Rhinolophus ferrumequinum: one gene and its partners. The protein of the gene in region 3 interacts with the protein of the main gene of each other region in a biochemical or structural test. Links are inferred from orthologs where the notes say so. Each region holds a gene or a part of one and is shown on either strand. Other genes may lie near its edges.

Region 1 (9,995 bases), on a different chromosome or scaffold from region 3:
CAAAATCTTTTGTTAGCATTAAGGGGCATGAAGTTGGCACTAAAGGGCACACGAGAATGTGCAAATAAAAAAGTGAAGACAAAAGGATGTCTGATCATACGGATCAGATGTAAGTGAGCCCAATAAGTAGCAAGAACGTGAGCTTTAACTACCCTTGAAATCACCAAAGATTAACCAGCAAGATAGGCAACAGGGTGACTCACCCCTTATCTTCATAACAACCTATTGGTTATCCCTTTTTCTTACTACCAGAAGCTAATCCGCTAAGGACATTGGTACCACACCTGTTTGCGTGGCCTCATGACTCAAAGTCTTAAGATTTACAGCATTTTCTCAAGAGACAAAGGCCGTTCCTGTGGGTAACTCCTTTTCAACACCCAAAGGTTAGTCATATACTATGGATGATCTGTTCAAGTAAATTGGTTGCCAGGTTCCCTCTTTAGAGAAGAAGTTATGCTTTCACAATTAGTTTCCAGCTACACAGTGATTCATCCTCAGCACACAGTGACTTCTATGTGCAAGCTTAGAGGGAACAGTGACGCAAGAACAGTACCAGCCACTAAGGCACTTTCAAATTTATCCCAGGGGATGCCAAGACACCTTTTCAATTCCGTCAAGTGAGAATTCCCTCATGTGCACATTTCCCTCTGATGGTGGAAAACGGGTGAAATCATTTATCTTTCCACAGCTTATTAATTACTTTGCTATTTTAGGGAGTACAGGAATTATTTAGGAAACACATTATACCTGGTTTTCTCCCTAGTTTACATAAATTGGTCCCTGCAAGGATGCTCAGTGTTTTTCTAGATGAGTTATAAAAGTCAGGACTTCTGGATTCTGTTCCTAGACATGAATGAGCTTGGATAAGTAAATCATTTTCCCTGACAGTAAAAATGAGAGGAGAATACTTATCTATTTCTTCCAAGAAAAAGATATGATGAAGTTTAAAGGACAGTATACATAATTTTAATTTCCTGTGCAAAAGTATTAAAGAGGTGGCTTATAATTTCTTCATAGTTAAGTTGCTTTGAGACTAGGTCTATTTATCCAAAAGAAATGATCAATCTTCAGTGAGTTTCCTGGGGAACAGATATTTAAAAACTTTTTTTGTATTGTACAAACATAGTAACCTATTAATCAAATTCTTCACTCTTAAATTTTTTTAAATCATTTTTAAGGGGAATTAAATAGTTAACTAGAGGGAAGGGCATTGAAAGTGATAAAATCGAACAGCCACAGGAGTTTCTCCAGTTCCCACACTATGAATTTATTCACTTAGTAAATATTGAGTGCCTACTACGGTATGTACCACTGGGTCCATCAGTGAATAACACAGTAAAAACTCTGCAGACAGGGAGGGAAGTGAAAGAGAAGCAGGGGGAACCAACAACATACAGCAGACATAAGAAATGTGTAGAGTCAATGGCATGCTGGAAATTGCATATACTATGGGGAAAAAAGTAAAGCAGGGTAAAGGGGGATTAGCAGAATGAAGAACTGGGGGAGGTTCGAGCTGTGATTTTAAACAGGGTGGTAAAATAGTAGACTCTGGAAGAAGGTGGCATTTGAGCAAAGACTTGAAGAAGGTGGGAAAGTTTAGTCAGTAGATAATGGGAGAAGAGAGTTCCAGATACAGGGAGCAGCCTGTGCAAGGATGCTAAGTGGGGAGTGAGTCTTGTGTGCAGGAGGAAGAGCTGGGGGCCCTTTTGGCCAGGGTGGGGTGAGCAAGGGGTGGAAAATAGGAGGAAATGTTTGAGTTAAACTCCAAATTTAAATGTTTGCTTCCTTCGATATCCTTAGTAACAATACATCTTTATGTTTTAGGTTGGTGCAAAAGTAATTGCGGTTTAAAAGGTTAAAAACAACTGCTAAAACCGCAATTACTTTTGCACCAACCTGATGTCACGCATCCATTGTTCTCTGACATCACAGGATCCCAAGTCGCCAACATGACAAGGCTCCTTGGGTCACCTTACATAATTTCTAAGTTTACAGGAACATTCCAGCCCATGATCACATTAATGTATTTTATTTTTTAGCTATTTATAGGTAGGTGGAGAGATAGCTATAGATCTATATATCTAAATACACATCTTTTTCTGGTAAAATGTAATTTGGTTTTTCATTAATTCCCACCCTTCAATCACATTGGATCAGTGAGATTATAACACAATACCACCTTTCCAATTTTCCATTTTGGTTTACTGAGTGAAGTCATTGTCCAAAACACAGAACACGTGTAACTGTATCACCAAGTTACATCACAACTACCCGTTGCCTAGTTCAAGCCAGGCCTCCTCATCCCACTGAGGTTATTTCTAGGCTCCCCGTAGTTCTGTTCTTGCATGAGCAGGGTTCCTTTCCTAGCCCCTCCCCTGCTCTATGTGCCCCCAACCCTGTGGTTTAAGCAGACCCCTCTCATGCTAACAAAGGCCAGCCTGCGTCAGCTGCAGCAGCTGCCCTGCCCCTTGGGAAATTGTCATTACCTACTTGAGGAAACTCCTGGTGACACTGCCAGTGAATCCGCCTGGTGAGAACATTAATGTCTGTCCCAGCAGTCTGCTCTGGAAATCTGCGAAGAGCCAGCATTGCCAGGGGTGGGTGCAGAAGGGGGAAGAATGGCTGCCTCACATCTGAGGACTGTAGTTTGTTACTTGGGCCTCCATGCACCTTCTCTCAAAGCTTTCACAAAGACAGCCCTATTCTTCTTTCCCTGGGGCTCCAACCCAGCAAAAGAGGCTGGGCTGAGATTGGTTCTGATATCCTCTCCTTAGTCCTTTGTCCTTACTCCATTCTCTAGCACTGAATCCCTTCCTCCACTAGCCAAAAATCTAAAAGCTCCCAGACATAGATCAAGCAGACACAGAGGCTTTCTCATATAGGTTATCAGCCAGACACAGAATCCCAGTGTGAGACAGGAAACTGTTCCTCAGCACTGAAACTTTGGAATGGGAAGAGTGACTGCTCTGTTTTTTCAGAGAAAATTTCACTTCGTGGTCAATTATTCTTTCCATTTCTGAATGGCACTTTCCAACTTCTAAATCTACCAATAAAAATGTGGTGGCCTATTGTAGGTGGCATATCCTTCCTTCCTTCTCTTTCTTTCTCCCCCCTCCCCTCGCCTTCCCTCCCCTTCTTTCCTCCCTCCCTCCCTCTCTCCCTTCCTTCCTTCTTTCCTTCCTTCCAGTTTTGTCCTTTGCCTCAATCTGGTAGGTATTTTTATCAATAGGGATTTTTATCCCCATTTTCAAACACTGATTTCTCAGACCCTGACATGCTCTTAACTTGATCTATGTTGTGCTCTTGGTTATATTTAATTATCTGTGCCTCAGTTTTCTCATCTTTAAAATGGGGATAAAAATACCTACCCACATACTATATGTATGTAAAGCACTAGGTATAGTACAAGACACATAACCAGTGTTCGATGAATATTAGCTGTTATTAACAACTAACTATTTTTTTGATATACATATATAATGATTACCACAATAAAGTTAGTGAACACATCCATCATCTTGCATAGTTACTTTTTTTGTGTTATGAGAATATTTAAAATCTACTCTATATTCCAGTGTGTGTGTACGTATGTGTGTGCGTGAGAGACATTTTCTTTATCCATTTATCCACCAACAGACACTAAGGTTGTTTCCATGTCTTGGCTATTGTGAAAAATGCTGCAATAAACATGGTTCAGATATCTCTTCACGATAGTCATTTCATTTCCTTTGGATATCATACCCTGAAGTAGGATTGCTGGATCATAAAATAGTTCTATTTTTAACTTTTTGAGGAACCTCCATCCTGTTTTCCATAGTGACTGCACCAATTTACATTCTCACCAACAGTGCACAAGGGTTCCCTTTCTCCACATCTTTATCAACAGTTATGTCTTGTCTTGTTGATGATAGCCATTCTACTGGGTAAGAGGTGATATCTCATTGTGGTTTTGATTTAACTTTCCCTGAAGATTAGTGATGTTGAGCACATTTCCTTGTACCTGTTGGCAATTTACATGTCTTCTTTAGAAAAATGTCTATTCAGGTCCTTTGCTCATTTTTTTAATTGGATTATTTTTTGCTATGGAGTTGTATGAGTTCCTTGTAGTTTTTGGAGATTAACCTATTACAGATATATGGTTTGCAAATAGTCTTTCCCATTCTGTAGATTGCCTTTTCAGTCTGTTGATTGTTTCTTTTGCTGTGCAGCTTTTTAGCTTGATGTAGTCCCACTTGTTTATTTTTGTTGCTTGTGCTTTGTTGTCATATCCAAAAAAAAATCATTGCCAAGACCAATGTCAAGGAGATTTTCCCTTCTGTTTTCTTCTAGGAATTTTGTTTTCAGGTTTTACATAGAAGTCTTTAATCCATGTCAGGTTCACTTTCATGAGTGGACATCTGAACTTCTTAAAGAATCCACCTTGCTCATCCTTAATCATTTCGCTCAGCTCTTATCCAGATAAATGATACCAGATACTAAATACAGTCTCTCTTGTAAGCGTTGGTATTTGTTGTAACAACCTTTCCTCAAGAGTAGCTTTATCCTAGTCCGGCCCTTACCAAATGTACTTTTGTGTTTCACTGTTCCCTCCTTCATCAGGGCTCTCCCCAATCTTGGTGAAAACAGATAGTTAGACTTTCTAGGAAGTGACTCATTATTTTGTTCGTTCATTCACTCATGAAGCAAATATTCACTGAGAACCTACTGCACACAAACACTGCACAGATGATGGATGAGGAAGCAGGAGGGAGCAAACAGCAAAACAATTTAGGTCTCAGTCTGAGACGTGTGTGCCCACATCACAGTTCAGAAAGGCCAAGAACTTGGGAGCATTTCACCCAGCATCTCAGAAAACAGGTCAGGGCCCTCCCAGCGCCCCAAGTCACTGTGAGCTTCTTGAGAAGGCTTTGATGCTGAGAGAGGGTTTGGGTAAAGTAAATGCAGAAGGGACGAGAGCGCCTGCAATTCAGTAAGAAAATAAGTAAACACCGTTAAAACAAGCAAGCAAGCAAAACTCCCTAAAGAAGCACACACCCCAAGCTTCACAGACTCTCCCTATCTTCGTCTGAGGAGTCAGGTGAAATTTGGAGAGAGGCCTGTGAAAGTGGCCACCCTCCAGGTCGAGGAGGGGTCCAATGGGAGGCGGCAGGGGTGGGGATCACCCTTCAGGGTCCCGCCCGCTGTCTCCTGGGTCCCAAGGTTGTGTTTTGTGCCCAGCGGGGCTCGGGGCTCACCCAGCTTGTTCCGCAGGGAGAGGCCGGGTGGGCAGGGGTGGCGGCCCCGCCCCGGCAGAGGCGGGCCAGGCTGGGTGTATTTGAGGCTCGGAGCCGCCGCCCTGTCGGGGACAGCAAGACCTCACCAGGAACCGCACCCAGAGCAAGCAAGCGAGTGCCCAGGATTCGGGTGAGTGGCGCAGGTACCGGGGACGGGGACCCGGCCTGTCGGCGGCTCGGGGCGGGCAGGGGCGAGGGCATCCTGGCAGTCCTTGGTGCGCAGCCCCCTTTGGAGGGCTGCGGCGGGAGCCTGGGGGCGGCGTGGCTTTCCGGGCGCGGGGCGGTGGGCACCAACAGCTGGAGAGCCCCGAGCGGAGCGGTGGGCGCCGTCTGAGCGCGGGTCCGCAGCCTTTGACGCTCCGGAAGAGGGGATTCGGGGAAAGTTAGCAACGTCTCACAGACTCACACACACCTCCTCCGGGCGGACGGGTGTGTGTGCAGACACCGGGCGTGGGCACAGGGCACGCTCTGCGGCGTCTAGGAGGCTGAGCCATGCGTCCTGCCCTCCCGCCGCTGGGCTACCTCGGAATCAGCGGAGGCCAACTGCTGGCGGGTGGTGAGGGGCGCGCCCAAGCTTGATACAGGAACCAGGTCCCCTAAAACAGCACACAGGGCGTACTGCTCAGGGACTCTCTCGGGCGGCTGCTGGGACCACTGACTTGGCTGGCCGGCCACCTGATCTTGCTGTGCCGAGCCAATGTGTCGTCTACCACGCCCAGCAGCGTCCGTGACTGCCGCTCCTCTCTGCGTGCTGATCCCACAAAAAACGGTGCTGCCCCAAGGCCTGAGTGGGCATGTGCCCAGCTTGGCAAAGACTGCAAACCCTACGCTTTTCCAAATCAGCGACTCCTCCTGGATCAGATTGGCTAATTTGGGCATTAATGATCTCAAATCTGTGCTGAGGATGTGTAGGGTGTGGCAGGATGTTGGCTAGAGTGTGCAGAGCCCTAGTTGGTGTGTGTGTTAAAAACATGTTCGAGGATTTATTCTCAATTGTCAGTTGTGCAAATACAAACACTGAAATACATCCACTCAGGGGTATGAGCTCAGGGCCAGTCAGTCAGGAACACATAGGTTGAGGCTGTGACTTAGGTTTCAGGCCAGACCCTTAAAGTTAGTGATTCCTGTTCCAGATACTGTGGAATATTTGTAAAGTGACTCCTGGGAGTTGGGTTGCTGGACAATGAGGACGGGTGGACCTCAGTGACCTAGTCTGTTTCTAGGATTCTGGGAAAGGAATCAGGCTCAGTTAATTCTGACGAAAATGATAGCAATAAAAATTAACCACTTGGGCACAGAGCATGAGAAAAAATTTTCACCAACTTCCAAAATTCTGACTCATTTGTCTCAAGTATATAACGTTTATCTTTCATACTAGGAAATTGTTTTTTCATGAAAGCTAAAATTTAATAATAAAATTAATTTTTCCACAGTGGTCTTCTTTTCAGACATTGACTTTAAATCTCTAGTTTCTCAGTCCTTTGATGGCTGTGCCTCATCTTTGGTCTTTGGGAGATTGGAGCTGCTTCCTAAATTCATAATGGTGGGGGTTTCCACTTAGAATCAGCATTATTCCATATTCTGGGGAGAACTTTGATGATGATCCTTGAATGTATGTGAGACTCGTGGTAACTGATCTAAAACATAGGCTGTTTTTCTTGTGATGGTTTGGGACACAGGCTCCTGCTGAGGACAACTAGGTAATATTTGGTGCCTGAACAGGTTCTTCTCATTAAATTCTGAGTGGTAAGCCTGCCAGGGTAGTGCTTGCTGTATACTTGCAATTTTCTGCTGACTAAGTATCATGTGTTCTCTCTTGACTGATATTCAGTTTTTCCACAGGGGGAAATATCAGTAACTGAGAGGCACAAAGTAACTTTACCTTCCTTGATGCTGAGGAACTATGATGAGAAAGAAATCCTAGTAAAGGACCAGTGTCCTTTATTCCAACTCAGCATCGCTGAATTTGGCTTTGGAAAGTGCCCTTTATCCAAGTCCTGCTCTGCTTTTAAACAGGGCAGGAAATAGACTGTCTTGCCTGTGTTCTTTGGAGAGGAGTGTGGGCAGAGCCCTGGGGTTCTGAGGAAATACATTCGTGATCTATTTCCCTTATGGCTTGTGTAAAGGTCGGGGCCCTTTGTGAGCAGAAGTTTCACAAGTGCTCCGAGGAACCCGGGCAACTGGATTAATTGCTAGATGGGCCTTGAATAAAATAATAGAATAGATAACTGCTCTTTATTAAAGGGAAAAGCTACAATTAATGGATGACTAACATGGTCAACCTTCTGACTCATGTTTAAAGTCCTTATTCCAAAGCAAACTGAACTACCTCCTGTAGGTTTTTCCAAAAGTGAAGACCCAGGTTGTACTTCCTCTATTTTTTGTTTGTCTTTGATGTAGTGTTTCTTTTCTGGCTCTCCAAAATTCTCTGATTCTGGAAATGCCAGGATGGAGTTCACATATCTATAGTACCTGCAGAGTGGAGAGGTTTTTTTTCACATTTGTTGAACTATATAAACTACTCATTTATATAAACTACTCATGTACAAAAAAAAAAAAAAAAGGAAGAAGAGAAGAGAGAGAAAGAAAACAGAGGAGAGAGCCTAGATAGTGGAGTAGAAAAACACTGTGCCTGTTACATTAGTTACATTACAACTAAATTATAGAACAATCAACCTGGAGAATCATCTGAAGTCTGGCTGAATAGAAGTTTTATAATTAAGGATATAAAGAAGAAGCCACATCGAGACTGGTAAGAGGGGTGGAGACATGAAACGGGCAGGACCCAAACCTCTGTGTGGTTGTTGAGAACCAGGAGGGATATCTCAGCCAGGGAAGTTTCCCCAGAGGAGCAAGAGACCCCGGCCCCACACCAGCCTCCCCAGCCCAGAGCACTGATGCTGGGAAGAGGAGCCCCCATAACATCTGGCTGTGAAAAACAGTGGGGATTTCAACCATCTGACCGGGACGAAAGGCTCCAGGGAAACCAGATGTCCTCTTAAGCGGCCTGTGCACAAACTCTCACTCACAGGCACTCACCTTGGGCTCCAGCGGAGGGGCAGTAACTCAGGGGATATCAGAGGATGGGGTGCGGGGCAGACTGAGGTGTGTGATTCGGAGTGAGGGTTGGAGGACGGTTGCCATTTTCCCTGTAAGGAGGTCCTTCCATGCAGCTGGGTGCTATCTTTCCTGTGTTGAGCCCGCCCCCACCATGGCCAAATCTGAATCTGATTGGCCTGGTGAGTTCCACTGCTCCACCCTGCTGAATCCCTAAGACACCACTCCACCCAACTCATCCAACACTAGAGGCACTTTCTCTTAGAGCAGCCAATCCCACCTGCATTGCACTCTTTCTTGAAAACTATGGGAGTTCACAGGACCCAGGCAGGCAGCAGCTGGCCTTGGTGTGCTCTGAGACTTTTGCTGCATAGCTCCAGGCTCAGCACTGGCACCAAACCAGAGTCTACATTAACCTATTAACAACAACTTTTCTCACTATACTGACTCCCTGAAACCCTGCTTCACCCAACTCATGTATTGCACAAGGCTTTATCAGGCTGAACCATAAGGGAGCCAACAGGTGTCAGCAGGCCTCAAGGTGTTCTGACTTTTTGCAGAACTACCCCAGGCCTGGTACTGGTGGCAGCTGTCCTCAATTCACAGCATAGCCTCTCCCACGCACCTCCAGGGGTGGGAAAGGCAGTAAATAACCACAGATCACTTTGTAGTTCCTACCAGGTAATCCCCGGCCCGTCACAGGTAGTGGGTGACCTGGGCCTGCACTGAAGCTCCTCGCAAGAGGCCCCAGAACCAACATACTTGGAGGTTGGCTTCAGGCCACAGCAGAGTACTGCCTAATTAGCCCCACAAGTGGCATACCCGAAGGGTGGTCTCAAACAAGCAACAAAGCCCACTGGAACAAATCCCACTCATTGGGGTAAGCCTCCCTCACAGCAGCCTGTAAGCTGTGGACTTGATCAAACCCCACAGCCAGTCAGCCTGAGGGTTATTCAAACCCACTGATGTGCCAATAGCAATCAAGGCTCAACTACAACAGGAAGGGACACACAACCCACACAAGGGACACTCTTGGAGCACCTGGAGCAGGTGACCAGGAAGACACAGGGTACCTACTATATATAGCCACCCAGCCAAGACTGGGAGACATAGCAGATCTACCTAACATAGAAACAAACAGAGAGGCAGCCAAAATGAGGTAACAAAGAAATACATCCCAAATGAAAGAATAGGAGGAAACTGCAGAAACAGAACTAAACAAAATGGTGGTAAGCAACCTACCAGATATAGAGTTCAAAACAATGGTTATAAGGATATTCAGGGAACTTAATAAGAACTTCAACAAAGAGATAGCAGGCATAAAAAAAAAGGACTTAGAAACCATAAAAAGGAATCAGTCAGAAGTGAAGAATACAATAACTGAAATGAAGAATGTACTAGGAGGAATCACCAGCAGCCTAGATAAAGCAGAGGACTGAATCAGTGATTTGGAAGACAAGGTAGCAGGAAACACCCAATCAGAGCAGCAAAAAGAAAAAAAGAATCCCCCCCCAAAAAAATGAGGGCAGATTAAGAGACCTCTGGGACAACATTCAAGCATAACAACATTCGCATCATAGGGATACCAGAAGGAGAAGAGAAACAGCAAGGGATTGAGAATGTATTTGAAGAAATAATGACTGAAAACTTTCCTAACCTGGCGAA
Region 2 (9,977 bases), on a different chromosome or scaffold from region 3:
TTTTTACCTTTAATAACAGTACAGCACAGCTGCTGCTGCACACCAGGGGTGAATCCGTGGCACCCAGGCATCAGAGGTTTCTTGTGCCCGCCCTTTCTTCCTTCCCCTTCCCAAACCACATGTTTCCGTGAGTCAGGGATTCTAGCAAATCCCACTTCTCTGACGCCAACTAAAAGGGAAAACTGTTTCTCCTCTACCCACAGAATACTTCGACACCAGATGTGTGGGTTTTCTACATCAAGCAATTCTCCAGCTTTCTGCAGATGCTAACTGGGTGTCCCACAAGTGAATTCAATCCTGGTACTACCTGGAGTGAGTGCAGAACCCATGTGCAAATGAACACCCATGGACCCTTCTCCTAGGCTCCCCGTTGTTATTTGCCCAATTTGTTCAATTGCTCTTTATATATATTTACACTTTTAACTGATTCATTCAAAAGTACGTTGCAGACATTACGACAGTTGACCCCAAAACCTTTAGCTTGTCTCACCAAAGAGCAAGAACTGTCTACACAGTCATAACTCATGATCATACAATAACCCAGATTTTTGATGATTTCATTGGGCCACCGGATTAACCTGCCATGGAAACCTCCTAGCTCCAGGCTTGTTATGTGAACATTTTCCTTCATTTTAAAGCAATGTCCATTAAATTTTTCTGTTACTTGAAGCCAAAAACTCTTGATACGCAGGCCCCCCAGGCACATCATAGAAAACATTAAAAATCACTCACATCCCACGTTAAATGTATGTTACCGAACTAAAGGGGGTTCATTGGCCTGCGTGCATCAGGGCCAAACGAGACATGAAAAGGCACTTTCCACAAAGAAAGGAAAGGTTCATTTAGGGAAATGGTGCCAAACCCGGAGACACAGGGGAGCTAGCACTCAAAGATCTGGCTCTCCAATGGCATGTAGGTTACAGATTCTATAGGGCAAAATTACAAGACCGCGTGGGTTAAGGGTTCAGGATCATGGTGGGAGGTGAAGTAAGGGTAATGAATCATTTCTAAAGATCTTACTGAGGTTTCTTCTAGGGTCCCTCTGTTCTGTCTCATGGGAAAGTAGCCAGGGGGTCATTCCACCTTATGGCTCGAGCTGAAACCTGACTTAGGTCAAGATGTTATCTTTAGTCAGCCAGAGCTCCCAACCCTTCACCATTAGTCAGGTCCACTATTGTCTTCTGCCACCTTCGAGGTTGCTGATTATCTAGGGGAAAGGCTGGGTCTCTGAGGGGCTTAGAGAGGGAGAGAGGGATATGATTTCTAGAGCTAGGATTTAAAACTGAATTTAACCAAAGTCATAAGGACCCTCCATTTCATATGTGGAGGGTTTTGGTTTTTGTTTCTCTTGCTATATATATTTTTCGAAGTATTTTTATACTTTTGTTTTACACTTTATTTGGCTATGGGGAATCTAATTTAGGAGTAACCAACCTTTAGGAAGACTTGGGCCCATTTTTGAAGAAAATTCAACCTACAAAATTGTTTCCAAATGTAATACAATTTTTATGACTACCACCTTTTAAGTCTGAGCACATTTATTAATTCCAGCTTTGTACTTTTAGTACTTTGGAGCCAATACTTTTTTTTACTTCAGTTCTCAAATATTTTCTGAGCTCTTAAAAAGGCCTTTGCTTCCTGTGAGTCTATAATTATGACCAAAAAAAAATGTTTGAAAAAAAAAAAAACCTGAAAAAGACTCCTGCCTGAGCCCTGGGGCTCTAAGGAATGACAGGGCCTAGAACCCAGCCAGATCTCATAGGAGAAGAGGGGAAGTTCCCCAAAGGCGAGTTGGGGCCTGTGATCAGAGGACAGATACCAGGTGGGAAGACAAAAGTGACAGACCTCCACAGTGTTTGGGGAGGTGGCTGTCTAGGTGGGAGAATAGCACAAAGGCAGGGAGACAAGAATGGATGAGCAAGGTCAGTGGGGGGCGGCTCCTGCACAAACCAGTTGGAAAAGTGCCTAAAGTGGGAGGGAGTGGGGGAGGATTCCCCTTGCCCTGCCACCAGTCCTTCCTACCTTCATGGAGCAGGATCCAAAAAAGGTCATTATTTGAAGTCCAGGTATCTCAAGTCCTTCGTGTTCTTTCCTTGGCTCAACAGATGAAAGGGCTTCAGCCCTAGCTTCCTGCGTGACCTTGGTCAAGTGGCCACCCTCCCTAGGTGGTTGCTACATCATCAAATGAGGGAGCAGTTCAGGTGTGGTATTTGGGGGTCTCTCCCTGCTCTGACTTCTAGGACTCCTGGCTCTGACCACTGCCAGCTGCAGGAGGCACAGCCTTCACCACGGGGGAACGGCAAGGCAGGGTAGGCTGGGAAGGGCCTCCCTGGCCTGGATCCCCCTTGGGGCGAGCTGAGCTCATCTCTCATGCAGCAGCCAAGGTCCAGCCTGTAAGATGGTCTGTACGATGGAGGAATTCCAGAGAGCCCACTGCCTATGCTAAAGGACAGTGATGGGGGAAGGAGAGCCCCCGGCAAGGGGGCCTTGGCCTTGGGGGAGGGTGCGGGAGAGAGAACTAATGAGCCCTTCACACATCACTAATCCTCCAACCAGCCAGCAAATGGGTAAAAACTGGGTAACGTTCCCACTTTCCAGGCATGACAACAGGTTCAAAGACTTCAAAAACTTGGCTGCATTCACAGCCAGGCAGCCCCCAAACCAGGACTTGCCTCTCTTCTCCCGATTCTAACATCAGTTTCATTTCAGGGCCCAGAGCGGCTTCCCTGTGCCGTTCAGCCCAGTTGGCAGACAAGAAGAGGTGAGGTGAAGATGAAATGAGATAGTGTATGAAAGCGAGGCACCGGGCACAGGGCCTGGCAGATAAGTGGGCGCCACCACACAATGCACCTTGTCCCTGTCCCTCCCCCAGGAAAACCACCATCCCTCTTATCACGGATACTGGAATCTGAGAGACTCCCCGCCCCAGCCTAGGCAGGAGGGACTGATGGAGATGAGGTGGGGGTGGAGGGACCTCCCAGAGGTATTGACCCCAGGAAGGTAAACAGCCTGAGAAAAGATGCAAAAACCTTCTAAGACTATTAAAAAAAAAAAAATCATCTATTTAGTACAACACACCAGAACTCCACCCCCTGCTAACCTTGTACAGGACAACAGGGTTTTACCTCCCCAACTTACAGATGGGGAGACTGAGGCAAGAAAGGAGAAGGGACTTGTCAGGATGCCTTGGGGAGGGCATGGTAGATCTCCAGATTCCCAAAAGGGCCTTTCTGGGGGCCTGTTCACCACGTTACACCGGCTCTCTGCCATCCCTCAGCTGGCCAGATGCTGAAGAAGAGTAAACAACCCCTCACCCTGCAGCAAACACTCCCTGGTGCTGGGCGTGTCTTCCGTGTAGCGGGGAAAACAGAGGAGCAGCTCTTGGGGTGCTGGGAGCCCAACTACTGGGCTGGAACAGCCAGCCAGGCCCACCTGATGGCAGCCAGGCAGGACTGTGCCTGAAGTACTTCTGTCCTTGGTTTAGAACACCTCCTGAAATGCACAATTCCTTGATCAGGCAGAGAGAGGGTGCCTGTGGCCCTGGGAAGGGAAGCACAGAGGAAAGGCAGCGGAGCGGGGCCCTACCCACTCCTCCGTAGATTGAGGTTTGAGGAAGGCCCTGGAGGAAAAAGTGAAGCTGCTGTGGTTGGTTTCTGAGGCTGCAGGCTTGGTCTGGCAGGAGGGGTACGGGATTCATAGGGGGTGGGGCCCAGCCTTCTCTCTAGGCCTGCCTCACAGTCCCATGCACTCCCCACGCCTCCGGTGCCAGGGTGGGCTTCAGTCATCTGGAGGAAGGTGGCCTGTGCCGGGGGCGGGGGTAAGGGGTGGACAGTGGCAGCTGGACTGGGAGGCATCGGAGGGCAGGGCAGGTTTGCTGGCTTAGCCTCCAGATGTGAGTCACTCCTGGTTCACATCCTCCTCCCTCTTTGGTTCCGGCAATTTCAGAAGGGCGACAGTGATGTGTTAAGCCTCCTGCCTTGCCCAGTGCTCCCCATGCCCCTCTCTCCACCTGGCTCGTGAGTGTGAGGTGAGCACACCTCCACACACACACACACACACACACACACACACACCCTGTTGTTACAGTAATCGTCCCTGGAGCCCAAATCTGGCCTCAATACTCACCCTCCCTATAACTTTCTGTGGCTCCCCAGCGCCCTCAGATGAAACAATGTCCAAGCCCCTTCAATGAAACCCATCCTGATCCAGGTACTGTTGGCCTCCCCGCCTCATGCCCCATCTTTCCCCAACATACCCGAAACTCCATCCATGCTCATATGCTTGCTGTTCCCCAGATCTGCCCAAGCTGGAATGCCAGCCCGCCTTCTTCACCCATCCTTCAAGACCCACCTTCACCATGATGCTTTGCTCACGACTTCCCTTAGAGCCAATATCGTACTATTTCTTCATTAAGTTCATAGCCAGATTCTGCCCTAACAGCGGGCTGCTTGACAGCAGGAACTGTGAGTTCCATCTTTGAATCCTCTCAGACCAGCTCAGGGCCAGGCACACAGCAGGTGCTCAGTAAAGTATCTGCTAAAGAGATGGAGAAAGGAAGGGCTGTGCCTGACCTCGGAGGGAGAATATGAGGAGAGTGGACGGGGATGCACAGAGCCAGGACCCTAACCCCTCATGGCCTGGCTCAGCCTGGGCCCCCTCCCAGGCCTCATCCTCTTCAGACAGGCCATAGGCTGTCAAGTAGGAGCTCTTAAGGGATTCCCCAGCAGGCCCCTCAGGAGGGCCCAGGCCTGAGCCCTAAACCCTGGCGGCAGCCTCAGACCTGGCACCCTGCCCAGCCTTTCTTTAGCGCTAGCGAGGAGCACACGCGGCAGCAGCCACAATCCCTGCTTCCGGGGGAGGCCCGGGTGGGGCCAGGGCTTTGTGGTTGATGGGTCCTGCGCCCTCTGCAGATGCCCACAGAGGGAGTCACACCCTGGTCCCTTCCAGGGCGCAACCTCAGGAACCCCAGATCTAATTCTCTCAAGTACCATGCATTCCCTCATTGGTCTTCTCTGGGTACCCCCTGAGCTCAGTCTGCTGGCTCTTGGCCCTTTTCCTCCAACTCCAGGGCCTAGCTCATTCTCAAACTATTTTCCATTGGCTTCCCCCAATCCCTGCCACAGCACAATTTTTGGTATGGGGAGGGTAGGGAAGAAACAGAATGGGAGGCGGAGTCTGGACTCTGGGGGAGTGGTTAAGAAGGAATGGGGGGGATCACAATTCTGATTGGTCAGTTCTGCTCCAGAACTGGCTTCAAAATTCCATTGACTCCACCTCCAGTGGCCCCTATCCTTGTCCTGGCTTACAATTGGCTGATCTTTCTGGGGGCGGGACTCACCGGTGGTCTGGTCCATTTAAAAGGATGGGAGCGGCCCAGGGCCCCATCTTTCGGGTGGAGTCTTCAGACAGCTGGTGCGTCAGTTCCCAGGACCATCAGTTCCCAGGACCATCGTCTTGTCCTCAGCCATGGCTTGTGTGAGTGTGGAGACCCCGCCCCAGGTCCCGGATGGCGTCAAGGCAGACAGCTGGGGAGAGTGAGGGCAGATGAAGATCGGGGTTTTGGTCCCCACGGTGTGGCCTTGAGCAAGTGCCTTCTCTTTTCTGGGCTTCAGTGGCCATGTCTCTAAGATGGGGTGGGCACCATGGTCCCCCAAGGCCTTCTTCAGCTTAAGAATTTTCTAGATTCCTCCAGGGTCTGGTAGTACAGTTATTCCTGCCATGGTCTGACATTCTGCAGCTCTCGAGGTAGGAGTAGGAAGGGTGTGGCCAACTGGGCGGCAGCACTTTGATGAAACCCAGGGCATTGCCCCTGCCCCCCCTACTCTAAAGAGCCTCCTTTTCCCCCTCATGCCCCCCCGCAGCTGTCCCCAGTCACCGGGCAGCAGCTGTCCCCAGTCACCAGGCCAGGGCAGTCACCCTTTGCACTAGAGAGCTCTGAAATGTCACCAGGATCTGAGACAGGCTGCCCAGGAAGGGGCCTGCCTGGGGTAGCGGCTGGAGAGTGGTTCTGTCCAGGCTGGTCAGGTGGGAGTTGGGGGAATTCCCCACCACCCACTCGGCCAAGCTGGGAGGGGGTGGTGCTAAGGGAGAAAGAAGAAGGCAAGAATCTTCCTCAGGCCCCCAGGGAAAGGGTTCAAGTTTCTGGCGCAAGGAATCACTCACAACCAGTTAAGCTGTGAGCTCAATCGTGTTAACCCCCAGCCAGCCAGGCTGCAGATTCCGGCCAAGGCCCTTCTGTAGAGGCGCCTGGCTGTGCTCCTTGGGGGTTTCCTCTCCAGCCCCTGCCTCTCTCTACTTGAAGGGGATAGTGGGGATCTGTCAGCCCTAGGCCCCTTCCTCTTCAGCAGAGGGGTAGACCCCTCCATTCACCTTCCTTTGCCACTAAATCCCTCACGCACCGTCTATTACATGAGGTTCTCTCCAGCTATTACATGGAGCAATGGAGCATAGTTCCCCACCTCCCAGGCCGCTCTGAATCCAAAATCTCCAAGCTGAACCGCAAAAACTTCTAGATTTTGGCTTCTAGAACCCCAGTCTTGTTACAGACAGGAAACTGACTGTAACCGGCTGGAGTAGGGATTTGCCCGGGACCACACAGAAAGAAAGGCTAGAACTTACACCCGGGTTCCCCAGGCTTCCAGTTGGCCTGAGGATCCACCGGGACGCGTTGGCTAACCCAGCTGGGCGGGGTCTTGTCTGCGCAGGGTCTGGTCGCCAGCAACCTGAATCTCAAACCTGGGGAGTGCCTCAGAGTGCGGGGCGAGGTGGCCCCCGACGCCAAAAGGTGAGGGAGCGAAGACGCGGGTGGTGGGCGGTAGGGGCTGGGGTTCTGAGCCCAAGGGTCGCGTCCCGAGTCGGGTAGGGGCGTGGCCGGCCAGGCCCCGCTCCTCCCCACCCTCCGGCGGAGGGGGGAAGGGGTTAATTCAGGCGGCCTCAGAGGCTGCGTTTTCTGGGTGAGTCACTTCCTCCGCGGGATCTGGATGCCCCAACCATTGTCGCCCCCTCCCCTCCCTGCTGGAGCCTCTTAAACTAAACCAGCTGCGGCCTCATCATAGACCTTGGCGGGACCTGAGGCCGTGGTGGGGGCAGGGCAGAGAGAGGGAATGAGAAGGGTATCACCCCCGCAGCTCTCCCTCTGAGGTCCCTCTTTCCTGCATGCTCAACCTTTCATTCCTTCAGTCCTTCCTTCACTCATTCACTCATTCATTCAGCTAGCTGGTCAATTTTCTCAGCAGCCGTGTGACCTTGAACTAGTCAACCAACCACATTGAACCTCAGTTTATTAATCAGTAAACCAAAACAAGGGGGACAGTGGTTGTATGGAGGAAGTGAGATGCTGGGTCTCTCAGAGCCCACGAGATGATCAGCTGACATTATCAAAAGGCTGCACACCTCCCATGCACTATTCTTTCATTCTTACCAAACCCTCAGGGACAAGGATTGCTATTACCTCCACTCAGCAAATGTTCGGTCTATCAAATGTTCATTCTCCCCACAGTTATTGAGTACCTACTGTGTGTCATTCATCATGCTGGGCACCAGTGGTACAGAGATACACAACACAGATGGGACACTTGTCCTCCCAGAGGTCACCATCTGGAGGGAGTCTCCGACTTTGACCAAAGGGGCTGGGACACAAACTAACATCTACAAGAGTCTTGGCTATCAGCACAGCATGACCCATAAAGATCCTTCTTGTACAGTTCCCACTGTGCAGATGAGGAAGCTGAGGCCCAGAGAGGGGCAGGTACTTGCTCAAGGTCACACAGCAAGGAGGTGGTAGGGCCAGAGCTAGAATGCAGGTTTCTTTTCTCCTGGCTCAATGAGTTCTCCCAGCTAGATGCACTGATGGTGTACTGAGTAGCACAGACTGGTTAGTCCGAGGGCGCTGCAGCTGGCCTCAATCCCACCTGTTACCCACTAGCTTCGTGCTGAACCTGGGCAAAGACAGCAACAACGTGTGCCTGCACTTCAACCCTCGCTTCGATATACATGGGGATACGAACACAATTGTGTGTAACAGCAAGGATGACGGGGTCTGGGGGACGGAACTGCGGGAGCCTGCCTTTCCCTTCCAGCCTGGAAGTGTCACGGAGGTGGGCTGGGGATGGGACTGGAGCAGGGCACTGGGTGGGCTGGGGCAGAGCTGGGTTTAGTGGCTAGTAATCTAGGTCCCACCCTGCCCTTTCTCCCCTCCCCCCTTCATCTGCTGTGTTATCTCCCTCTCCCAGCCTCAGTGGCTTCACCCATGAAGGGGGACTGTTGTCAGTCAGGGCTACAGGACGAAAGGCTCTGGGAGGGCCCCTGGCCTGTAGGCCATGGCATTGGCCGCACTGAGGCTTCTGCTTGGGGGTCCACGCTGCTCACTGCCCTTCGCACCCCCCCTCCTCCCAGGTGTGCATCTCCTTCGACCAGGCAGACCTGAGCATCAAGCTGCCAGATGGATACACATTCAAGTTCCCCAACCGCCTCAATCTGGAGGCCATCAACTACCTGGCAGCAGAGGGTGACTTCAAGATCAAGTGTGTGGCCTTTGAGTGAAACCAGCCCACCCGTGGCCCCCAATAAAGGCAGCTGCCTCTGTTCCCGTTGAACCAGCCTCATGTGTGGTGTGTGTGTGTGTGCGCGTGTGTGTGTATGTAAGTAAGTGGGTGGGTTCCACCAACTCCCCCAGGTTCTGCCCCTTCCTTCACTTCTGTGCACTTTCTTGATGCACACCTAAGTGCCGGTGACATCTTCCCCAGGGTCCCCTGGGTCCTCTAGGCCAAGCAGAGAGCTCAGTACACAGAGGGGGCTTAGTGACTACTAAATAAGACCCAGTTGCTGTCCTCAAACAGCTCCCAATCCAGTGGACCCCAGCATACAGTAGGTGCCCAAAAGATGGTGCATAAATGAAACCAGGGGAAAAGAGGCAAGGACAGACTGAATCATGTCATGGTATCTGGGGCCCCTCTCATTTGTTTTCACGAAGTAGAAAAAGCTAGTTCAGATGATGGTGCAGGGCTACCAGCTGTGTGGCCTTGTATGTATTAACGGACCTCTCTGAGCCTTGGTTATTCATTTATATGAAGGGACTAGTAGCACATAGCCTGTTGTGAGGGTTAAGTGAGATATGTGAAAAAGGTCAAATTTAGTGTGTGGCACATGGTAAAGGCTCAGTGAGTAGTGGTTTCCCATCTCTGCTGTACTACCTCTTGAGATGTTAGTGTACCCCTGCTTGAAGGGGAGGAAACAGGCTCTGAGTGACAATATGACTCCCTGGTCTATCTGTATCAGGTCCAGCTGAAGCTTGAGTTGGGAGCCTGGCAAATCTCTAAAACAGCCAGCAACCACCCTGAGACCCTGGGTTGGTCTCTTCTATCCCTACCTTTCACTTCCTCATCTATAAAATGGGGGTCATATTTGCACCTGGGCTCTTTTGGGTGGGTGGGTCCCCTAGGGGGCACATTTCTATAAGAGGGCCAAGGAGGATGGAGCGCACATGCTGGGGGCACCTATGAGCCACACCCAATCTCCAGGCTCTCCTGGATCACCCAAGTGGCCACCCAAAGAAACAGCTTTGGAAATCTGGCTGTGGACAGGCGCCCTCTGCTGAACATTGGAGAAAGTGTCCCCTCAACTAACTGTCTCGTCCTCAAGAGTTCACCCACATTGATTCTCCCTAAGCTGGCTGAACGCCCACAGTACACCAGGACTGGCGCTACCACAGTCCAGAGGAAAGCCCTGGAGAAGATAAGGAGAGAGACCCCTGGGTGAGGAGGAAGGAAACTGGGTTTGGAATTAGACCTATGTTTAAACCCCAGCTTCAACACTGTGCCCTCGAACCAGTTACTCAACCTCTCTGAACTTCAGTTTCCTCCTTGATCAAATTTCATTAATACTAGTGTCTACCCTGTGGGGTTGTTGCAAGGTTTAGCTGAGATAATGTAGAGGAATGCATGGGGCCTGGCACATAGAAAGAGCTCTGTAAAGTTGGT
Region 3 (10,834 bases):
ACAGAGGATGTAGAGACTGGAATGCTGGTTTGGGGTGCTTGGGGCAAAGCAAAGAGCCTGTGCCTCACTCTCCCTTGCCATGGAATTTCCTTCCCGCCTCTGCTCCTCACGTGTGTCTGCCTAGAAGGCTAAGGAATCAAAAGGGAGAAAGGCGTGTGCCCGCCTGACAGCCACCAGGCACACCAGCCTGCCAGGGCAAGCTGAGGACATGGAGTTGGAAGAAGAGGGAGGTTCTGAGCAGTGGAGCCCATGAGTGCCCAGTGACCTCTCGACAGAGACCCAGCCTCTGACCCTCCACTGTGGGAGCAAAGGAAAAAAAATGCTCCTGGCCCTGAGTGGCCCCAGAGGAATTCACGGACACTCTGGCAAGATTCAGAAACCCCATTGGAGATGCTGTTTCAACTGGTGTTAGAAGACTTGGGAGTTGCATGTGTCTGAGGCTTGGCCAAACTTACATCCATGGTTGATTATCGACACAGGAAAACCCCGAGATAAGCTCGTCGGCTTCGTTCCTGTACGTAACTCGAAGGACTTTCCCGTCAACAAGACCCAGGCCCGGCACAGGACTGACCTTCCCCTAGCATTCCGTCCTCAAATAGCCTTTGCAGCGGGGAGGCCAGAGCACACCACAGCAAGAGAAGCAGAAGAGGCTCCATCTCCATGCGGCCCCTGCGGGACCTTCGTCCAGGATGTGCGAGGCTCCGCGTGTTTCTCGGGTCCGCGTGTTTCTTGGAACTGTAGTGAATCGGGAACCCCATGGATGCAATGGGAAAGCTCCCCATTGCCCTACCCAGGGACTCAGGCCTGGGGAGCGCTGGACCCACAGAGGACCTCTGCACACGAAGCTGGGCACGCGGCTTGAAAGAGAAACAGACGCAAAGATGGACGATTTGTCCCCTCCCTTCACCCCTTCCAAGACAGTTTTGGTGTTGAAGAAGTAAAGGACAGTTACCTCATAGATAATTCAAAGCCACGAATTGGGCGGGGAGGAGGCCAGGATGGAGCAGAGCTCTAGAAGTCCAGTGGCGGGACCCCGTAAGTCCTCAGCTTGGGAGCGCTGCCCCAGCTCGGTGGGCCTTACCGTTTCCTTATCTGTAAAGCAGAGACAGGTCCACGGGTCTCTGCCGTGGAACCCGTGAGGCCAGATGTGCTCAGAGTAAGATGCAAATAAAACAGAGCATCCACCCCAGCGGTTGGGGGGCAGCACCCCTTCATTGGATACTTGCAGGTTCGGCCGTGGGGTAAACGAAGGCCGTTCAGAGCCTCGCAGTTTGCGTCACCTTGTTCTGTCAAATTCGTTGGTGCCCAATTTAGGGGAAAACGAAGTTGTCAGAGGATTATGAAACTAATTTCTCACACAGTTGATGAAGGGTTGACGGAGCAGGTACAAAGTGCTGGAATGTTCATCACAACTGTCATCATTGTAAGTATAGTCTTCTTCCCTCCCTTCTCCTGGGTTGAGCCCCCACGTCTCCCGAGAGATTAGAAAAGGGATTACTCATTTTCCTGGAGGCAGGGGGTGGTATTAAACGTGGCAACAAGAGCTGGGCTTTCCCAAGATGCTGGTGTGAAACAGAAGGCTCAGAGGCGTGGGGAGCTCAGAAGCACAGGAACTGAGGTCCGAGCACATTTTGGGCCGTAGCGTCACGGCCCACAGCTCAAGCCAACAAGGCCAGGCTCCCAAAGAATGCAAGTCAGCCTTCAATAAAGGAAATAAAATACCAAAACACAGCTGGCCATGGCCCTGATGCCCTTTGTCATCAACGTCATTTTCTGCTTTAAAATTTTGAGGAGGAAAGATGGGAAATTTGTCAAGCTAGGGGCGGTCTTACAGACGGCCTGGTTCTCCTCCAGGGTCGGCGGTAGCGCCCCCAAGCAACCAGGACAGAACCTTCTCAGTTCAGCAAGTATCTTCCTGTTGGACAGAGTCCTGACTGGAGCTGGGACAGGAGTCATGGCAAAAAAAAAAAAAAAAACCCAACAGCATTAACACATCAGAACCCAAAGCCAATAGCAGTGCCTGGGGGAGATTTCATCAGCCTTGTGACGGGTCAGAGGCCAGGGCCAACCAGCATGAGGAGGCCCCCACCCCCCAAGGACTCTGTCTTGGGCTTCCAGATGGCCACGCCCATCCTGGAATTCCCTGGGAGCTCATACCTACACAAAGGATGTCTGGGCCAAGGCCAAGATTCAAAGGCTTCCTGAATATTCCCAAGTGGCTCGTCTGCTCAGACAAGGGCAGCTCATGGGATGTAAAGCCCAGAGACCCATGCGAGAACATTCTCTGGGATAGAGGCCCAGAAGGCAGGACACTCTGTGTCCTCCCAAGTTGGCCAATTCCTTGCTTTCCCTGGGCATATCATTGCTACTCACCATGTCTGTTTTCTCATCGTTGCAGAAAACTATGTGACCTTGGTTGAAGTCTGTAAGACCCTTGGTTCCAGATCAGCACAGCCTGTCATTAGCAGCACTGTGATTTTTCCCACTGCGGCCCTAACATTCTGCCTCTCCCAGCTATTTTGGGCCGGGCTGCCCAGTTGTCCCACAACGGCAGAGGCCGATTGCAGACTTTTGAATTCCTATCTGAAGGGTAACCACAGGCAGGCTCAGATGGCAGGGTCTCACTGCCAAGGGGTGGGGGTGGGAGAGTCTCCGTGGAGATTCGGGGAAGGAGCTGAGATGGAAACTTGGCAGCCAGATCCAGCCTCCCTGGCCGCTGGCCCACGCTCGTTGCTCCTAGATGGCAGTGCCCGTGGTCGAGAAGACTCAGGGCAGGTGGGAATCAGGACTGGCAGCTACAAGGACAGAGCAGGCGGGTCTGCTGCCTCATGCTCCTCACACCTGCAGGAGACCCCTCTAAGGAGGACAAACCTTTCATGGAAGTCCCCTCTGCACTCTTGATGCAAAGACGGGCAGTCAGGGATTTAAAAAAAAAATACACGTGCAGTCTCACTTTGACCATTTCTGTGCTTTCTGACTCTAATGATGCCATGTCATGCCCCATGCCTCAGTTTCTCCATCTCTCATTTCCATCCCTATTTTGAGAATTCCTTTTGGGAACTTTCAGAGATTGGCATAGACAGACCGTAAGGCAATGTTTTAATAAAATGGGAGGGCCCCCTGGTGGACTGCATAATTCTAAGCACTCGACTTTGAAATGAATGAGTGAGTCCATTGAGTAACTCAACACATGAATGAATGACTAAAGTGAAGAATTTTTCGTTGTTCATGCACAGCCCAGAAACCAAAGGAGGAGAGAATTTCCTGCAGAAGGCCATGGTGAAGTCTCCAGTGATGCGAAGAAGACAAAGGGAATGAAAACTGAAGGAAAACCTAGTTGTAGATGTCCGTGGAGTCACTGACCATAAGGAGTGCAATTTCACGGCACAACCTCTGCGGAAGTCTGTCTACTCACTAGAGGATGCAAACACCCTTTGATATAGTAATATTTCTTCTGGGGATAATATTTATTCTGGGGATCCTACATATATCTTCATAGTTGTGCCCAAATAAGTAACATCGCTGTAATGTGAAAAGATCACAGATATCCCGAAAGAACATCACCGGGGCCTGGTAAAGTAGATGACATCCCATCCACACGGTGGAATGCCACACACCGCTCTGTGGAGAATGAAGCAGCTCTCTGTAAAATGCTATGGGACAAGCTATTCTGTGAAGTGAAAAATTACAAACCTTACTGAAAAACTTTTTTAAAAAGACCTACGTAAACGGAAAGGCAACCACGTTCTTGGGGAGAAGACTCAATATCATAAACATCTCAGTTCTCTCCCAATCAATCTACAGATTCGAAGCAATTCTATTTAACATCCTAAAAGGTAGGGGCATGTGGGCTGCTGTGGGGGTGGGGAGGGCAATAGTCCTGCACCCTATGAAGGCTTAGTATAAAGAGGTGATAATGAGGACAGTGGTATTGAGCTGATATGAAATATTATACCCATACAGTAACAGAAATTCCCAAACAGAGCCACATGTCCCTGGAGACTTGAGCTATGGCAAAACTGGCACTGCACATACATCAATGGGGAAAGGATGGATTCTTTTCTAAAAACAGCACTGAGATGTTGGGGCATGTGCAGCAGAAGAAAGATAGATATATAGATATATAGATATCAAAAAAATCTGAGAAAGATACACAACTTCTCAGTAATCAGGCAAGGAGAAGACATTTCATGCTATCAGATTGGTAAAATGAATGAATACACCTGATAGTACTTGTGGGCCAATGGGATTGCTCACCCATTGCAACAGGTCTATTTCATTTTTGTAAAATACATGCATATATATATATATATATATATATATATATATATAGTTTAGGGATACAAACCTATTTGCTAAAATTACAAAATAAAGCACAAGAATGATTACCACAACATTCAAGATTGTGTTTATCTCTTGGGGTGGGAGGAAGTTGGCAACAGGAAGGAGTACCTAGAGAGCTCTCTAGATAACAAGATTAGTGTTTTATTTTTAAGTTGGGAGCCATACCTGAAAGTAGATATCTTAGTAAAAAAAAGATGTGAATAATTTAAAATAATTATACCGTGTTTCCCCGAAAATAAGACCTAACCGGAAAATAAGCCCTAGCATGATTTTTCAGGATGACATCCCCTGAACATACGCCCTAATGCGTGTTTTGGAGCAAAAAGTAATATAAGAACCAGTCTCATTTTCGGGGAAACACTGTAGTATATGGTATATGGTTGGGATACAGTTTAATATGATGGAAAATATAAATGAATTCAGCAAAGGTTTTTTTTCTCCCCTCCCCCTCAAAAACGCAGAGCCTTATGTTTAGCACATTTCCATTAGGTTTAAAAGTAATTTAACATATGTGCTATGATTCGTTTGTGTGTCACAAAATATCTGTAAGAATGACCACAAGAAACTAGTACTAATGGTTACCTCTGGGGAGGGAACGCAGAGGGGGTATGGAGGGAGGGTTATCTTTCACTGCGCACCATTTATATAATTTGAAATTTCTCTTGTGCGTCTGTTGATGGAAGGCTGTTGAGAGACCAGGGATGTGTGCATGCAGAGACCGAAGGTGCAGACCGGGAGCACTGACGCACCCCCTCGCCATGCTCCTGTGTGACGCTCCACTACTATAGGGCTTTTTTTTTTCTTTTTTTCTTCCAGGATTTCTAAAATGAGCATCATTACAGGACTTAGGGGTGAGGGGCCGGGATGCCTTTTAACATAGTCCATTCAAATAGCTCAGGGGGCTGGAGAAACGGGATGAATTAGAGACCCATGTTTGGAAAGGGGTTCGTTGATTGCAAGTTAGGGGGGCCCAAGCCCAGGCCGCTCCTGCCTGTACACCTGTGTACTGACCTTTGCTTTGGAAACTGAGCTACATTCAGACGTAGGCGGTTAGAAGAGCCAAGGGAAGGGCTCTGAGAATGAGGGTGGCAGAAATGGTTCCGTGCCTCTACGCCCCGGGAGGACCACGAAGGTCCGGGGGACCAGGCAAGGGGTCTCACAATCTCAGCTCGAGGAATGATACCCCCCCTCCCCGTAGCCTTCACCTCCGCCCCCCTCCCCTTTCTGCTCGGCCGACGTTCCAGAATAACGCGGTGGAAGGGGCCTGCGGGTGGGGAGCGCGGACAGCCCTCCTCCCTCCGGTCCTTCCCCCGGCCCAGCTCGCTGAGCATCCAAAACTACAACTTCCAGTAGCTCCCTGCACGCGGCCGGCGCGCAGCCGCAGAGCAGAGGCTGCCGGGAGCGTGTTGCCCGGAGGCGGGACGAGCGCGCCGGGCGGAAGTCGGCCGCCCGCTCGGTCCCGGCCCTTCCCGCAGCGAGGCCCCGGCTTCCGCGGGACCCCGAAGCAGCCCGCCCCGGGTGAGTGAAGGCCGCGCCCGCAGCCGCCCGCGCTCCCCCTCGCGCCGGCCTCCCCAGCGCCTGCCGCCGCCCTCCGACCCCGCACGCTCCCTCCCTGTCTGACCTATTGGGGCCCCTTGACCCACAGGTCAGCGGTCCCCTCGGACGGGGGTGCCTCGGAGAAACTGTCCCCTCCTACCGACGGGGGGCGACACCTACCCCTCTGACTCGGAGACTCCTCCCCCGTCTGACTGGCGGAGTCTGACGGCGCGGACTAGCGCCCGCGCCGTGTTCGGTGCCGCCACTCGGACCTGGGCAGGGCCTCTCCTGATGGGCTCGGGAGCCCGCCCGCCCTGCCTGGCACCGGGTCACCCCTGCAGCGCGCCAGCCTTCCCCACCCCAAGCCAGGCCTTGCTCTCCCTGCCCCCAGCGCAGCTCCCTTTCCTCCCTTTTGCACTCAAACGGGCCACGCTCCCCTTTCCCTCTGCGCGCCTTGCGCTCCCCCATCTGGTCTGGATCCTTTTATCCCTGGGGATCACCGCCTCCTTGCCACCCTCGGTGCGTTTCCCGTGCCCTCTGTGTGCCTAGGTTTGGCAGGCGTTAACACCTGCCGGCAGTCTTCCGTGCGCCAGACCCCGCTTTCTCCCAAGCACCTGTGTCCCTCAGGAAACCCGTGTCTCTCAGCAGCACATCGGCCCCATGTCTCATTCCTGCTTCGGGGTATGTGCTTGACGGCTTTTCCTACCACGTTTCGGACAAAGCGCAAGTTTGGGAACACACATCTGCTGGTGTCACCTGAATCTTGCCGGCACTTGGGTGTAAGGGCCAAAACTTGACAAAAGCACAGTCGCAGGTAGGTCCATGGAAAGGAGGCAGGTGCTCAGCCTCCCGTTCCTCCCCCTTGAGGAGCTCGTTGAGTTAGGTCTTCCTGGGCTGGGCTGCAGAGCGTTGTCCAGCCCCCAGCCCCAGCCCACGGGCCTCAGCCGCAAACAATGCAGCCTGAGCCTGTGGGCTCAGTGGGGCCTCTTCCAGAGCCAGGGTGGCCTCCTGGTGGCCCTCCCTGCCGGCCTCAGTGACCTTCTGTTCAGCCCCGAGTGCCCTGCTGAGAGGCACGTTAACAGCCCAGCCTGCTCCCCTCTGGAAGTGCAGGGGTGTCCAGTCCTGTGCAGCCCAGATTTGGTCAGGCACTGTCACAAGGCCACCACCAGTGGGCTGGGACACAGGATTCTGGGTCTTACTCTTTCGTGTCCAAATGAACCTGATCACAAAGGTGATGCTGCCTCGCCCGGTGGTGGAGGAAATCACATATTTCCAAGGGTGTGGGTACCAGTGTGTCACCATGTGATCCCTCAGCTGTAAAAATCTGATCCTTTGATACCTTCCATTAGCTAAACGTCTCCTTTGTTCCCCCAAATGTAGTTCACGCCATATTTTCATAGCCCACAGCAACGTAGTGAAGGCGTTGGTTTAGGCTGCTGGTGCTTGAGGAAATTTCTACCCGCCAGTCCAACTGCACCTAATCTGCATGTCTTCCAAGCCCCAGAGGAGTGAGGAGACACCAGGGTGCCGGGTGGGGGGCAGGTCTCGCTCGGGGTGTGTTCATCCCCACCCCCTGAAGGGGGCCTTTGAGGTGAGCGCTTGTGGGCTCCCACAAATACACATGGCCCCTTTCATCTGAGTCTCAGGACTTTCTTGGCAGCACTGTGGCAGTCGTCATGGCAACTGTATAGGGTAGGTGTATAAATGCTCTAGTGTTTTCTCTTTCAAAAACAGAATATCTCCGATCGGGGAATATGGTTCAGAGTCCTGAACTGGATCGGTATTATGACAAGGAAGACGTTTCCCTGTTGTACAGACATTTGTGGCGTGGTACCCAGGATACTGAAAAAAAAAAATTATTTTCCTTTCAGTGACACTCTGGACTATGGAGATTTCTGGAAAGTTCTTATTAATTGCCAACGTTAAGGGAATTTAAAATTTTTTCTATTAATTGTTTAGCACTTTTATGTTGATTTTCCTTTTCATCAGACCAAGACAAAGTCCTGATATTAGCAAAACCTGTTTGGGAAAATGTTCGTTTTTCTGTTTTTGTCTGCATTTCTTTTGAATCCCACTCATTTATCTGTAGTAGCGCTGCCATTAAATGGAAGTCACAGTTCCGGTTCCCAAGCAGAGTGCCCTGCCATCCCTGCCCAGCCAGGGACCATGCCGTGGGAAGTGAGGCGGGGCCATGTGCACGTGGGGCCTGACCAGGTACAGTGAGGGCGCATGACAGTGTGGGCGTGAGCGTGAGGTTGGAGCCGTCTAGAATGGCTCGCTGGCCACTGTGCCTGGTAGCCCCGCGCTGAGGCACGCGGGAGAGCAGGTGGGTTCAGGCAGGTGCGTCCACTGTCTGTGGGAGCAGCCCTGACTTGGGCCGATCGTGGGATTATCACATCCCCTTGTTCCGGGCTCTCCAAAAAACAAGCCGAAGATGCGTAGTTTTGTTTGGGATGAGGGCACTTTCAACTGGGAGGGCAGCTGTTTTCCAAAAGTCCTAGATGACGGCACAAACTATGCACGCACAGCGGCTGTGGTGTAAGGATGAAGTGCAGACTCAGGCTGTGCCCCCCGCCCCGAGGCAGAGCTGTGTGAATGGTCCCGGCCCCCGGGAAAAGCTGTAGGTTCTTCCCGGCCCCTGTGGCCGGCAGAGTAATGCCCATCCGCACCCGCAGAGGTCCACGCCCTGACCCCCGGGACCTGCGAATGTGTTATGTGGCAAAGGGGGGCTAAGGGAGCACGTGGAATTCCAGGTACTTATCATCTGACCTTAAAAATGGGGGCTCGTCCTGGATTGGCCAGGTGGGCCCAGTGTGACCACAGGGCCCTACCAGTGGAAGGGGGGCCGGAGAGTGTCAGAGGGGATGATGGCGGAAAGGCCCAGGGAGATGCAACAGTGCTGGCTTTGAAGGTGGAGGAAGGGGCCACAAGTCGGGCTGAGGGCAGCCGCTAGCAACTGGAAACGGCCAGGAGACGGGTCCTCCCCTCGAGCCTCTGAAAGGACCAGCCCTTTATTTTGGCCCAGTGTGACCCATGTCGGACTTCCGTCCTGCATCTGTAAAGTAAGTGTGTGGTGTTCAAGCTGTGCAGCCTGCACTGCTGTTACAGCAGCAGGAGACAACTGACACACTCCGCTTGGGCGGCTGACTTACAAACAGAAACAAAGGACAGAAAAAGAAGTCACCCGAACTGTATTTAACTTGACTCGGTGAGCAGTCGTGATTGCCTGTCACGGAAGGGGCTGAGTAAGGGACAGGCGGGCGAAGGGAGGATCCAGAGAGCTGGGTTTAGACGCTGTCAGCGCTGGTGCTGGAGGCCCTTGGTGTCTGTCTTGCCTGTAAGGAGTCTGAAGGTCAGCGCGTGTCACTCTACTTTCCAACCAGAAAGTGCACTTTGCCGGTGGGCAGACTAGGGACTCCTGCCTGCAGTCTGATGGCTCTTTAGGACCGTTCAGAGACCGTGGTGGAGAAGGAGAGGCAGCCACTCTGCAGACCCCAGGGCCTGGGGAGGACAGTGGCTGCCCCGTCCCTGAGGCAGGGAGCTGGGAGCGGGCCACCTTATCTCCGAGCTGAACTGTGCTTCCGGCCCTCCCTGGATCCTGAAAGGTCAGAGTTTTGCTCAGGTAGCTGCCTTAAACCTGTTTGTTCTGCCACCTGTCCGGGCCACTCCTACAGGAAACCGGGGAAGCGACCCTCTTGGCTGTGAGCTGAATGTAAGCCTTGTGTCGGGTGCGGAGGCCAGCCTGGGGGTGAAGGTGAAGGTGGGGGTGTCTGAGCCTGCCCTGATTCTTGGCTGCAGTGGAGGGGCTGCTCACTCTACTCCCTGGGTGTGTACCAAGACAGCGTGCTGCCCCCCTGGAATCGGGGGGTGCCCTGGGGAGCTACAGACACAGCCCTTACACTGACGCTAGTTCAGGCCTGTTGCACAGGAAGCCGGAAATGCATGAGTGTCAGTGAGCCGTTCTTGAGACCTGCCTGAAAGGGGGTGGGGGGCTGGGGCTGGAGCCTTGGGGGTGGTTGTCCCTCCTCATGGTTAACTCTCTCCAGCCTGTTGCCCTGCCCTGTGGCTGGCTGCCGGCTCCAGAAAAAGGAAGCCAGCAGGGGTGCGGCCTCCAGGGGGCTCTGAGCCTGGAGAGAACTTGTTTGCTGGCCCACCTGAACAGGTGAGCCCAGCGACTGGGTCCTAATTTTCTTGGTGATATAAAACCGCCCGTTATGCTGCAGATGGTGGGGCTGATAAACTTGTCACAGGAAAGCATTTCAGCTGCTTAGAGCTCTGAGGAGTGTGGGCAGGGAGAGATGCCAGCATGGGCCCTGCTTCCCGGAGGGCATGGCTTTGTCCATTTCTCTCTCACCTTCACTGGCTCATTTCTGTTGGGGTGCGTGGCTGGCGATTTTTTATTTTTTAATAAAAGTACAAGTTCTCGCTCTGCACCAGGCCTCCCGCAAGACAACACAGGCAGCTTGCCATTGACTTTCGGGAAAGAGCCGGCGTGGGGGCGTAGAGAGCGCACGAAGAGGCATCTGACTGGAAACTTTCTTTTCTACAAAATGAAAGTAACTCCTTGCGATACTACCCGAGGGATGAAGACCCAGGCCGGGCTGACCCGGTGGGAAATCAATGTGGAGGTGATGCTAGAGGGATTTTCTGGAAGGCAGACAGAGCTCTGCTGTCACCAAAGTCTTCGTCCTCTTATTTAATGAAAGGTGACCTGCCCTGGGCGTTCTCTCCCTCCCTCAGTCTGGGGAACCAACCTGATGGAGCAGGGCCCTTCCCCGCAGGAGCTCAGAGCCCCCGGGAAGCAGATGGTTGCAGCCGCTCTGGTCTGTGCTGTCCCAGAGCCATGGCCCCATAGAGGCAGCACAAAGGCACAAAGGACAGTGTTTGTGTCCAGGGCTGCTGTTCCAAGTCACCACAAACGTGGCGGCTGAAAACAACACACATTTATTCTCTC

What was found.
Region 1: the proteins of galectin-3-binding protein (region 3) and LGALS3 form a complex in vitro, tested with the Homo sapiens proteins (4 studies listed by BioGRID). The link is inferred for Rhinolophus ferrumequinum from reciprocal best matches to the Homo sapiens genes LGALS3BP and LGALS3.
Region 2: the proteins of galectin-3-binding protein (region 3) and LGALS1 form a complex in vitro, tested with the Homo sapiens proteins (2 studies listed by BioGRID). The link is inferred for Rhinolophus ferrumequinum from reciprocal best matches to the Homo sapiens genes LGALS3BP and LGALS1.

The regions. Positions count from the first base shown.
Region 1 is NC_046289.1:38,186,755-38,196,749, reverse strand, and holds the start of LGALS3 (galectin-3), read left to right. Parts: upstream 1-5,267; 5' UTR 5,268-5,403; intron 5,404-9,995. UniProt on the Homo sapiens protein: Galactose-specific lectin which binds IgE. May mediate with the alpha-3, beta-1 integrin the stimulation by CSPG4 of endothelial cells migration.
Region 2 is NC_046293.1:9,223,936-9,233,912, reverse strand, and holds LGALS1 (galectin-1), read left to right. Parts: upstream 1-5,345; 5' UTR 5,346-5,466; coding exon 5,467-5,475; exon of another isoform or gene 5,476-5,525; intron 5,526-6,618; exon of another isoform or gene 6,619-6,704; coding exon 6,705-6,784; intron 6,785-7,924; coding exon 7,925-8,096; intron 8,097-8,394; coding exon 8,395-8,541; 3' UTR 8,542-8,594; downstream 8,595-9,977. UniProt on the Homo sapiens protein: Lectin that binds beta-galactoside and a wide array of complex carbohydrates. Plays a role in regulating apoptosis, cell proliferation and cell differentiation. Inhibits CD45 protein phosphatase activity and therefore the dephosphorylation of Lyn kinase.
Region 3 is NC_046304.1:52,738,929-52,749,762, reverse strand, and holds the start of galectin-3-binding protein, read left to right. Parts: upstream 1-5,746; 5' UTR 5,747-5,862; intron 5,863-6,570; exon of another isoform or gene 6,571-6,694; intron 6,695-10,834.